Rattus norvegicus: one gene and its partners. The protein of the gene in region 2 interacts with the protein of the main gene of each other region in a biochemical or structural test. Links are inferred from orthologs where the notes say so. Each region holds a gene or a part of one and is shown on either strand. Other genes may lie near its edges.

Region 1 (3,748 bases), on a different chromosome or scaffold from region 2:
GCCTTGTAAATATTTTCCTACTTCTTTGTTGTTAATTATGGGATGTTTAATATAAAATATACATTCCCCCCATGGCTCATTGAACTTGGCAAGAGCTGTTTGGGCTAGACTGGGTGGCTAGCCAGCTCCGTGGATTTCTTCCCTGTGGCCTCTTTCACGGTTCCTGAGGTCACAAGTGTATATCTGCCTGGCATTTGCATGAGTCCCCGGGACCTAAATTTAGGTACTTTACCCACTAAGCCCTGTAAGGCAAGCAGTCCACCAAGTGACCTGCATTTACAGCCCTGAGGATACTAATTTATTCATTCCATCTCTGTCTTGTCCTCCCACCAGACCTCTGGACTCTTGTTTCTCCTATCACCCTGAACAACTTTGGGTGCTACATCTGCCGCTCCAGCGGTGGGCGCTTGCACCACCACCTCCTTGGGACAGTCATCTTAAGCCTTGTCATTCTCTTCCCAGCCTTTCCCTCTTTCCACACGCTCCTTGCTTTTGGAGTCTGTGATTTGCCGCGTGGCACTTAACTGCGGAATCTCAGTTTTCTCCTCTTAAAAACAGGACTACTATTATTCACAGGATTGTTTTAAGGAACGCTGGGAGTGGTGGTACATGCCTTAAATCCAGCACTCGGAGAACAGAAACAGGCTGATCTTCATGAGTTCGAGGCCAGTCTGGTCTACATGAGTTGCGGGACAGCCAGGGCTGCGTAGTAAGTAGTCTCTGAGTCATCCAATTGCGGGAACTAAGAAATTCTTCACTGTTTGGACATCCCTCCAATCACAGTGAAGAAGGCTGTTCCCGCCTTCCGTGCCTAAACAGACCAATCACCGTTCCGGAGCATGGCGCGAATCGCCTCTGGAGAATCTTGCACTTGTCTGGGTCCCTGCACTGAGCATCTCGACTTGCAATCAACCCCTTTCCGAGCTTCGAAAGAAGGATCCCTTGTCATCCTTATCCCACAGCCTTAAATCCTCTCACCCAAACCGGCTGATCGGCGGGAACCGGAAGTGTGCACCAGGGACGGGTCCCAGTGAACTCCGCCGGAAGTAGTGATTGCTAGGGGATTCCCTTCGCTCAGCATGGCGGCGATCCCCCCAGACACTTGGCAGCCGCCCAACGTCTACCTGGAGACTAGGTGAGGGTTGGAGAGGGGAGGAATTGGCCGAGGACACGCGGGTTCGTGCCGCAGCGGCCAGGTTAAGAAAGGCCAGCCTGACTCGCAGGTTGCCCACACGGAGCTGCGGCCGGGAGTACCTGTGGGCTCTGAAGGAGCCCCTCCAACGTCGTGGGAGACTTCGGCTACTTCTGCCTGCTGTTCTTTTCCCACGCCGTTCATTAGTTCATTTACCTCTGTCCATCTTCATTCATTCATCCCCTCACTCACTTATTCTCAACAAGTGTGTGTTGAGCATACAAGTTGTGTAGGGTAATACAAACCTGGGTAAAACACTATATTATGGTGAAGGAGACGGATATGTAAACACTGTGGGACAAGTAGTAGAGTTGTCTGAACAAATTGCTTTGAAACTAGAGGAAGATTTATTTTCTCCACCATCTAGAGTGATCTTTGAGCTGGGCATATATGGTTTAGCATCCCTAAGGCCCCCGAGCTCAGCACCTTGTATACTCCGTGTGGTTGCACATGCCTATAATCCTAGCACTCTGGAGATGGAAGCCCGAGGATCGAAAGTTCAGGATCTGGGCTGGACTGGAATGCTTACCTAACAGTGTGTGTGTGTGTATATATATATATTTTTTTTTCTTTTTTTCGGAGCTGAGGACCGAACCCAGGGCCTTGTGCTCGCTAGGCAAGCGCTCTACCGCTGAGCTAAATCCACAACCCCATATATTATTATTATTATTATGATGATGATGATGATGATGATGATGCCACCTACTAGTGCCATGCCTCAGGTGTGTGTGATTATGTTCTGTTTACTATTGTTAGCAGCTCCTATCCAAAGGCCTTGTTTCACATACTTGCTTCCCGTTTTAGCAGAGAAATGCCACATTTTGCAGATTTACCTGCAAACTGATTTTCATAGTGATTTGAAGGGAACCTTACTTGGAGCCTGGTCAACACTTCTACTGACTTTAGCCCCGTTTCGTCTGCCCCTGCCTCCGGAGTGTAGACTTTAAGAAGGCACACACTACCACTCCCAGGGCTACAGAGTGCTCATATTGCTGGACCTCCTGAATCTGGGCCGTACAGATTCAACTCAGTCCTTAAGTCCTTAGAGCTCAGTGGGTGACAAACAGCAGGAGGCCCCTGCCTTGTCTCCTGCTTCTGTCTTATCCTTAAAGGTACTAGGGGAAGAGAATAAAAGTTCTCATCCTGGGTCTGTGTGGACATACGAAGTAACCAGCTTTAGTGTGTGCTTTACGCATTCTCTTTAGATTTGATTTCTAACATGTGTGTGGGTATGTGCACATGAGCACAGAGGCCAGAGATACGGGGAACCCTGGAAAGGGATGTATAGGTGGTTGTGAGGCCTCCTGGTGTGAGTGCTGGGAACTGATCCTTTGTAAGAGCTGTACATGCTCTTAGCAGCTGAGTCATCTCCAGCCCTGTTTGACCCACTCTTTAATGCACAAACTGCTTTTATTTTCCTGTTCAAATTTAGTTTTAATGGGTGATACGTTTACATGATCAAAAAATGTAGAAGTTAGAAAAACTATTTCTTCCTTCCTTTCTTTTTTTTTTTTTTTTTCTGGAGCTGGGGACCGAACCCAGGGCCTTGTGCTTACTAGGCAAGCGCTCTACCACTGAGCTAAATCCCCAACCCCAGAAAAACTATTTCTTGCCCTCTTATCTGGTCAGCTGCCACTCCCCCCCTACCCCCACACCCTTGTTCTGCAGCCCCCAGACAGATGGAGATGTATATAAACACACTTTAATGTCTTTTTATCACATCTACAGATGACACGCAAGGTCCTGTCCCTTGTTTGGGGGTTGGTTTCAGAGCATCCGTACATGCCCTTAGAATTTTGGCTTGCTTATGCTTGGCTTTGCTTAGCACATATGCCAGAAGCTGCCCTGCGTGTTCACACTCAGGTGGGTCGGCCGTGGCCCCGTTGCTTTGTGGGTCGCTTCCTTCCGAGTGTGAACTCTGGGCACAGCTAGCCGCCTCGCACAGACAGCCGGCAGGAGTCTTGGAGCGACTGCCTGCTCTGACCTTGCCGCCTGTTCTCCACTGCAGCATGGGAATCATTGTGCTGGAGCTGTACTGGAAGCACGCTCCAAAGACCTGCAAGAACTTCGCGGAGCTGGCTCGGAGGGGCTACTACAACGGCACCAAGTTCCACAGGATCATCAAGGACTTCATGATCCAAGGCGGAGACCCGACAGGCACAGGTACTTAAGATTGAGCCACCATCTGCTTCTTCCGTCTCATTCTGTCATAATTGGATGACAGGGTCTCATAGCCTAGGCTAGCCTTCCTACTCTCTGAGACTGATCTAATCTTCTGATCTTCAAGCCCTAACCTCCTCGCTGCTGGGATTTCTGCCTGCTGCCATGTGCAGTATTTGTAGTGCTGGGGATTGAACCGAGGGCTTAAAGTATACTGGGCAAGCACTCCACCACTTCCCATCATCAGCACTCTGCCAAATGGATTACATCAGTAGCTGCACGCACGCACCCACGTACACCTTACCCCACCACCACCACCACCACCACCAGGGTTATCAGTGTAGCCCAGGTTGTCCTTGAACTCCTGATCCTCCAGTCTCCCTGCTGCGCCTGCTG
Region 2 (3,648 bases):
TTTTCTTTTTTTTTTTTTTTTTTTATTAACTTGAGTATTTCTTATTTACATTTCGAATGTTATTCCCTTTCCCGGTTTCCGGGCCAACATCCCCCTAATCCCTCCCCTTCTTTATGGGTGTTCCCCTCCCCATCCTCCCCCCATTGCCGCCCTCCCCCCACCAGTCTAGTTCACTGGGGGTTCAGTCTTAGCAGGACCAAGGGCTTCCCCTTCCACTGGTGATCTTACTAGGATATTCATTGCTACCTATGGGGTCAGAGTCCAGGGTCAGTCCATGTATAGTCTTTAGGTAGTGGCTTAGTCCCTGGAAGCTCTGGTTGCTTGGCATTGTTGTACATATGGGGTCTCGAGCCCCTTCAAGCTCTTCCAGTTCTTTCTCTGATTCCTTCAACGGGGATTCTATTCTCAGTTCAGTGGTATGCTGCTGGTATTCGCCTCTGTATTTGCTGTATTCTGGCTGTGTCTCTCAGGAGCGATCTACATCCGGCTCCTGTCGGTCTGCACTTCTTTGCTTCATCCATCTTGTCTAATTGGGTGGCTGTATATGTATGGGCCACATGTGGGGCAGGCTCTGAATGGGTGTTCCTTCAGTCTCTGTTTTAATCTTTGCCTCTCTATTCCCTGCCAAGGGTATTCTTGTTCCCCTTTTAAAGAAGGAGTGAAGCATTTTGATCATCCGTCTTGAGTTTCATGTGTTCTATGCATCTAGGGTAATTCAAGCATTTGGGCTAATAGCCACTTATCAATGAGTGCATACCATGTGTGTTTTTCTGTGATTGGGTTACCTCACTCAGGATGATATTTTCCAGTTCCAACCATTTGTCTATGAATTTCATAAAGGCATTGTTTTTGATAGCTGAGTAATATTCCATTGTGTAGATGTACCACATTTTCTGTATCCATTCCTCTGTTGAAGGGCATCTGGGTTCTTTCCAGCTTCTGGCTATTATAAATAAGGCTGCGATGAACATAGTAGAGCACGTGTCTTTTTTATATGTTGGGGAATCTTGTGGGTATACGCCCAAGAGAGGTATAGCTGGATCCTCAGGTAGTTCAATGTCCAATTTTCTGAGGAACCTCCAGACTGATTTCCAGAATGGTTGTACCAGTCTGCAATCCCACCAACAATGGAGGAGTGTTCCTCTTTCTCCACATCCTCGCCAGCATTTGTTGTCACCTGAGTTTTTGATCTTAGCCATTCTCGCTGGTGTGAGGTGAAATCTCAGGGTTGTTTTGATTTGCATTTCCCTTATGACTAAAGATGTTGAACATTTCTTTAGGTGTTTCTCAGCCATTTGGCATTCCTCAGCTGTGAATTCTTTGTTTAGTTCTGAACCCCATTTTTTAATAGGGTTATTTGTCTCCCTGCAGTCTAACTTCTTGAGTTCTTTGTATATTTTGGATATAAGGCCTCTATCTGTTGTAGGATTGGTAAAGATCTTTTCCCAATCTGTTGGTTGCCGTTTTATCCTAACCACAGTGTCCTTTGCCTTACAGAAGCTTTGCAGTTTTATGAGATCCCATTTGTCGATTCTTGATCTTAGAGCATAAGCCATTGGTGTTTTGTTCAGGAAATTTTTTCCAGTGCCTGGGGACATTTCTTGAAGCCTTAGCTCCTCAGTTAGCTTACCATTCACAATAAGAAATTACAACTCCCGAGAGCAGAGCTTAGTGGACGAGCACACATTTAGCATCTGAACCTGATGTACCCCAAAGACGAGAGACAGCTTCATAGGGCACTTTAAAATACACTAGATGTGTTGCTATACCAGTCCCTTGAATACCATGTAAATCTCTCTGGTATATCATAGCTATCAGAAGCACATAGATGAGAGATAGAGAGAGGGAGGAGGAGAGAGAGAGAGAGAGAGAGAGAGAGAGAGAGAGAGAGAGGGAGAGGGAGAGAGAGAATGAATATGAATATGAATGAGAGAGAATACCCTATTGGTTGAAGATTAATTCTTCATGAAGGTCAAACTTCTAGGTTAGAGTTATTTCCAGAAAAAATATCTCATTGTTCACATGAGAAAGGACAGCATGAGTTTTCAGGGGTAGGGAGGTGGTTAGGGGGGGTTCACTCCTTTGTTTCTTTTTAGCTATTCTGCTGTGTAGCATTGCTGTTCATGGTATTGTCAGGAGTGGTGTTCATGCTTGTGACTCCTGCACACATGAAGCGAAGCAGGGGGATAACAAGTTGAAGGCTACTCTGGACTACATAGCAAGATCTTGTCTGAAAAAATAAGCCCTAAAAATAAAACCTTCTGTTGCAGGGCCTGGTGGCACACTTGAGGTGCAGGCAAGCCAATATCTATAGGTTTGTGGCCAGTCTGGTCTAAGAGTGAGTTTTAGGACAGCCAGAATTGTATAGAGAGACCCAAATACATAGACTCAAAAAACAAACAAACAAAAAATCTTATGTACCTCAGATGCCAGAGCTTCCGGAGTTAGTGAGGGTCTATAAATTATGGGATACATTTCCAAGTTCTAGTTTCTTATAGGATTGGAGTCTACTGCATGAGTCATATTGATGGGTGAAGGCGGAAACTTTAGACCAAGAATTAAATATGAAATTACATAGTCGTGCTCCACTGGAAAGGCTCTGAACCATCTTATGTGGGTTGATTCATATCTATGCAACACTGTGGTCTGTTGAGATGACACTGAAGCACTGTGGGTCTTCATTTATCTATGGATCTTTTTCATATGGTTCTTTATATTTTTGCTTTGGGGCCAAGGTCTCAGTCTGTAGCCTGGAACTTGCTGTGTGGGCCAGACTGGTCCTGAACTTGTAATCTCAACTGTGGTTGCAGACACGTAGCAGCACGCCCAGCCAGCACTGCTTCACGTTAGGAGACAATGGATTTAAGGGTAGCATTTGATAGATGAGTTAGAAATCGGGAAACATAAAGCCAGGCCTGAAAGATATGATTCCAACAGAAGTTCAGCATACTCCCTGGGTACAAGCAGTTTGTCTGCATTCTTAGGACCTAATTTTACTGTAGTCTGACTATTGGACGGCAGGCTTAAACACTTGGGCTCTTGCATCATCATGTTAGTGATCCAGTCTTAGTTCTTCCATTTACTGACTGAATTTGCCACCATCCCTTGGCGCTCTACCCCACCTTCCTGTGAGAGGGAGATGTGTGGCAGCCTCATGCAGTTAACTAGGGTGACTAGAGCATGAACCCTCCATCGAAAGCCTTTACTGTTGTGTAAAGGACGTGAGTGTAAGAGATAGAAATGTGAGTGTTCTCAGAACGGGCATGCGCTAGTAATGTTCTGTGATAACTGCAGCCCCACTGTGCTGACCTGCCTTCGGCTTTCATTTCAGGGGTATACGATTCCACTAGATAAACGGCTGGCTGCTGATGGAAGAGGACTTCAGACTGTCCACATCAATGAAAATTTTGCCAAACTGGCTGAAGCCCTATACATTGCAGATCGGAAGGTTGGTCTTTTACAGTTTGCTGAGTGTTTGTGCATCTGTGAGCCCACATCAGTTTACCTGAGATCTATAGGGACACTGGCAAGTGTGTACACCAATGGCAGCAGGGGCTAGGTACAGCTCTGTCCGGAGACCTCTAGCAGCATTGGTCCTCCTGTGCCAGAGTATTGTTTCCCTAGGCTAACCTAATTCTTTGAGGATTG
Region 3 (3,748 bases), on a different chromosome or scaffold from region 2:
AAAGTCGCTACAGTGGTGGGCTAAGTCTGGGGGCAAAGTGGCCAGGGGCAACTCTACCCTTAAGGAAGGACTGGAGTTGGCTGACTAGGCCAGAGAGTGGACTGGGGTGCTGGGGCTGCCCTCAGGATCGTGCTGTCCCACCTTCACCTCAGCCTTAAGTCTCCCCAAGCCCCCTTGTCCCTTTATCACTCAGTGTGACCTCTCCTGGGTTTGGATGATTCGGTATCCGGCTTACCCTGCTTTGGGTTAATGTCTTGGCGTCGCCACACACACAAAACCCCCTTCACACATGAGAATCCCAGTTCGGATTATAAATCATACGGTCGCTTTTTTTTTCTTTTTTCTTATATTTTTGGTTGTGAGCCTAGCCTTTAACGGCTGAGCCATCTCTCCAGCCCTCTTTTTTCTTTTTTGGCGTATCCATCAGACACTGGCGTGAAGCAAGGTTAAGGGCAAAACGGGAGAGACGCGTAATGAAAAGGGAGGTCCTGGTAGTACAGAGCTGCTGCTAGGCTGGCTTCAGCCCAGTCAGAGCCTCCCCGGACTGAACAGCAACGGTAGACAGCCAGAGCTGCTGATCCTCCTGGAGCTTGATTTGGAGGCTGAGCCCTCCTCTGCTGGCACCCCTTGGAGGAGGGGGCTGCCACCATGCTGGGACACACAGAAGGCTCCCACTTCAATATGGCCCTGTCCTTATTCCCTCCACCTGCATGAGCTCACAGCAGTGGCAAACGGAAGCTTGAGCCCCCTCACCCACTCTCCAGCTACAAATTAGAGTAGGGTATCCCGGCACCCTGGCCTTGCCTCTCTGCTGTGTAGACAACAGCAGCCAAGGGGCTGATCTCAGCCAATCCCTAAAGTATAAGATTGGGTAACTTCTTGGTCTCGCCATTTAGACCCTAGGCCTTCTGGAAGCCTAGGCTTTGTGCATCTGCAATCTGTGCTGAAGGCAGATTCAGGGGGTCTTTGGGGGCTTCCCAAGGGACTCAATCCCTCCAAGAGATCAGTTCAGAGGGGGGCTGGGTGGGTGGGTGGGAGGGAGACTGAGAGACCATGTTATAAGTAAGTAGAGCTCAACAGATCAGGGCCTCTAGAGAATACACAGACTTTATGATTGTACCTGGAGAAGAATGAGGGTCTCTTCTAAGCTGCCCAAATCTCCTTCTTTCTCTCCTTTACTAGTCCGTCCTCCATCTTGGTTGGGAACCAAGTAACAGAGAACCAGGAACACTGACTGGGGATTCCTACCTTTTGCAGTTTGAGACAATGTTTCTATGGCCTCCCTGTGGCCTCAGACAAGCTAGTAAAGGGTACCGGGTAAGGCCCCCAGGTCACCTATTTCTGCTCAAGGGGTCTCTAGTATCCAAAACAAAACCAGAGACTTTTACTCTTACTGCCTCCTGCTCTGGCTGCATGCCAGTACCGAGAAGTATTTCAGCGAGATCCACGCAATTCTTTCTAGTCTTCAGCTAAGGAAGGAATAGAGATGGTCCCCTAACTGTAAAATACCCTTAGTTCACAGAGTTAAGGGTCCTCGCTCCCAAGCCTGGGGAAACCATTCCTTGCATTTTCTGCTCCCTGAACCTTCTGATTTCTCCTGCATGCCTGTCTTATGAGACAAGATGGGTATCTGGCAAAGTAGAAATGGAACCAGTAGCTGGTAAGTCCACAGTCTTGGGCTGTATCTCTAGTTCGTAAAAATAGGAAGAGGTATGGATTTACCACAAAACCACTGTCTCTTCATGGTCATCTCCTGGAATCATCCCTTGTCCATCAAACAGCCATTGCTGACACCCCTACCCCCTGCTGTCATGAAGAAGATGCCTTCCTCAGGGCATTGGAGCAGACCTGAACTCTGTCCAAGGGAATTTTTGCAATGCCCAGAAAATGCCTGCCCAACTGCTTGCCTGGGCTCTGGCCCCTCTCACTGCTTCTGGGCCCAGACAGGAGGCTGACTCACTCACCACAAAGAGGAGGAGGAGGAGAAGGAGGAGGAAGAGGAGGAGGAACACGAGGAGGAGGAGCAGCAGCAGGAGGAGAAGGGTGGCTTAGGCTCAGAGAGCCAAGGCTCCCAGAGCCCAGGCAGATTCAGCCTCAGGTGGGGGGATAGTCATAGAGGAGACCGTGGACCTCGAGATCACATACCTAGATTCTCCTCCTGGATCAAGTCCCTTCCCTCTCCAAACAGAAACTATTCCTTAAAACCCCTTTCTCAATTTCCATGCTCGCCCCTGAAACCCCCCAACCTCGCACATCTGTAGACAGGCTCTCCTGAAAGAGAAACCCAGCACACTAGTCTCAAAGCACCGGTGACTTTAGAAAGTCAAGAAAGGAAAACTCCATTTAAATTAGTCCACTCCATTATCACAGGTGATCACACATGGGCTCCGCGGGGTAATAAACAGGTAATAAACAGGCTCCCCACACTCCACCTCCAGAGACCTTAACACCATCGACAGCCAATCGTTCCCTTTCTTACTCCCCGACTCCAAAGCCAAAGCGCCGGTCCGAGGAAAGAAACAAACGCTTCTTGTTGTCGAGTGCTGAGCACCCGCCTAGCGAAGGACTCCTAAGCTGAGCGTCCTGAGCATCGCAACTTCAGCTTTCTCAGACTTGGGTGCCCTCTCAGAGTCCCAACCTCATGGCACCACAGCCCGGTTCTCAGTCCCCAACTTTTGCTTTTTTAGAGTCTTAGACTCTAGTGTTTGTACCTGGACACTCAGACCTCTAGACCCAAGACGCCCGCCCCGGGTCTAATCACTCACCCAGGACTCCCTTCCCCCTGCTCCCCGATTCGCACCTGGTCTGGCGGTGGACACACTGCTTGGCGCTCCCTGCGCTTGGGGCTCGACAGCAGCCTTTTGACAAGCAGAGACTGCTCAGCACCTGGCCCCGCCCCTGCAAGGCCCCACCTCCGGACCGCCCTGCCCCTCAACCACGCCCACTAGGTTCAGTCCTCTGCAGCTCTGAAACTTTCTTGACTTGGAAGCAACCACTGCACTGTCGCCTTGGAGACCCTGCCTTGTGAGAGGCTCTAGGATCGCCGGCCACAGCGCAGCGCAGGCGTCTGCCTTCCGTGGGGCAATCTTTGATGATATCGTGTGTGTAAATACACGTTTCTGCCGGTGGTGACCTGTGACGTATCCGCCACCCACCCCCGCCGCCGTGGTTCTACCCAGTCTGCTGTAGACGCCTCCGCCAGGTGTGTCACCCGTACCTGAGTTGACCCGGGACCCCGATGCCCGCGGCGCGCTGCAGGGAGCCGTCCTCGGCGCGCCAGTGGGGAATCGCCGACGACTTTCTCCTGCAGGGCGCTCAGCCGGACTCCACTGGTTAGGATTAGCTCAAGGAGACGGGAATGGAAGTTGGAGTTGCGGCCTCTCTCCTACCTGACATTCCTCTGTTAACTACAGCGACGGAACATGTTCCTGGCTAATTGCGTCTCGTTCCAGCGGGCTTTGCCTTAACTTCTGAGGTCTCTGCCTCCCAGATCCTCTCTTGCCACAGAGCCCTTGTGTGAAGGAATGAAACAGGCACAAAATACACCTCAAGACCTGGAACTATGGGTGGCTACTGAGAACTCGTAGAAAAATTAGATAAAGGTTACTCTCTACTCACCAGATGCTGAAAGAAATGGGTCGATAGGACTCCCTCCTTTGAGTAGGAGGATGTATGCACAAATAAACGTAAGAATGTTCTAGAATATAGATACCCACAATGTCACCAGACAGTTGGTGACCTCCTTTAG

What was found.
Region 1: the proteins of Snw1 (region 2) and Ppil1 form a complex in vitro, tested with the Homo sapiens proteins (2 studies listed by IntAct, with this or other methods). The link is inferred for Rattus norvegicus from reciprocal best matches to the Homo sapiens genes SNW1 and PPIL1.
Region 3: the proteins of Snw1 (region 2) and Vdr form a complex in vitro, tested with the Homo sapiens proteins (2 studies listed by BioGRID, with this or other methods). The link is inferred for Rattus norvegicus from reciprocal best matches to the Homo sapiens genes SNW1 and VDR.

What each region holds. Positions count from the first base shown.
Region 1 is NC_086038.1:7,315,934-7,319,681, reverse strand, and holds the start of Ppil1 (peptidyl-prolyl cis-trans isomerase-like 1), read left to right. Parts: upstream 1-900; 5' UTR 901-1,079; coding exon 1,080-1,135; intron 1,136-2,709; exon of another isoform or gene 2,710-2,790; intron 2,791-3,200; coding exon 3,201-3,355; intron 3,356-3,748. UniProt on the Homo sapiens protein: Involved in pre-mRNA splicing as component of the spliceosome. PPIases accelerate the folding of proteins. Catalyzes the cis-trans isomerization of proline imidic peptide bonds in oligopeptides. Catalyzes prolyl peptide bond isomerization in CDC40/PRP17.
Region 2 is NC_086024.1:112,833,336-112,836,983, reverse strand, and holds part of Snw1 (SNW domain-containing protein 1), read left to right. Parts: intron 1-3,331; coding exon 3,332-3,448; intron 3,449-3,648. UniProt on the Homo sapiens protein: Involved in pre-mRNA splicing as component of the spliceosome. As a component of the minor spliceosome, involved in the splicing of U12-type introns in pre-mRNAs.
Region 3 is NC_086025.1:130,913,941-130,917,688, forward strand, and holds the start of Vdr (vitamin D3 receptor), read right to left. Parts: upstream 2,818-3,748; 5' UTR 2,801-2,817; intron 1-2,800.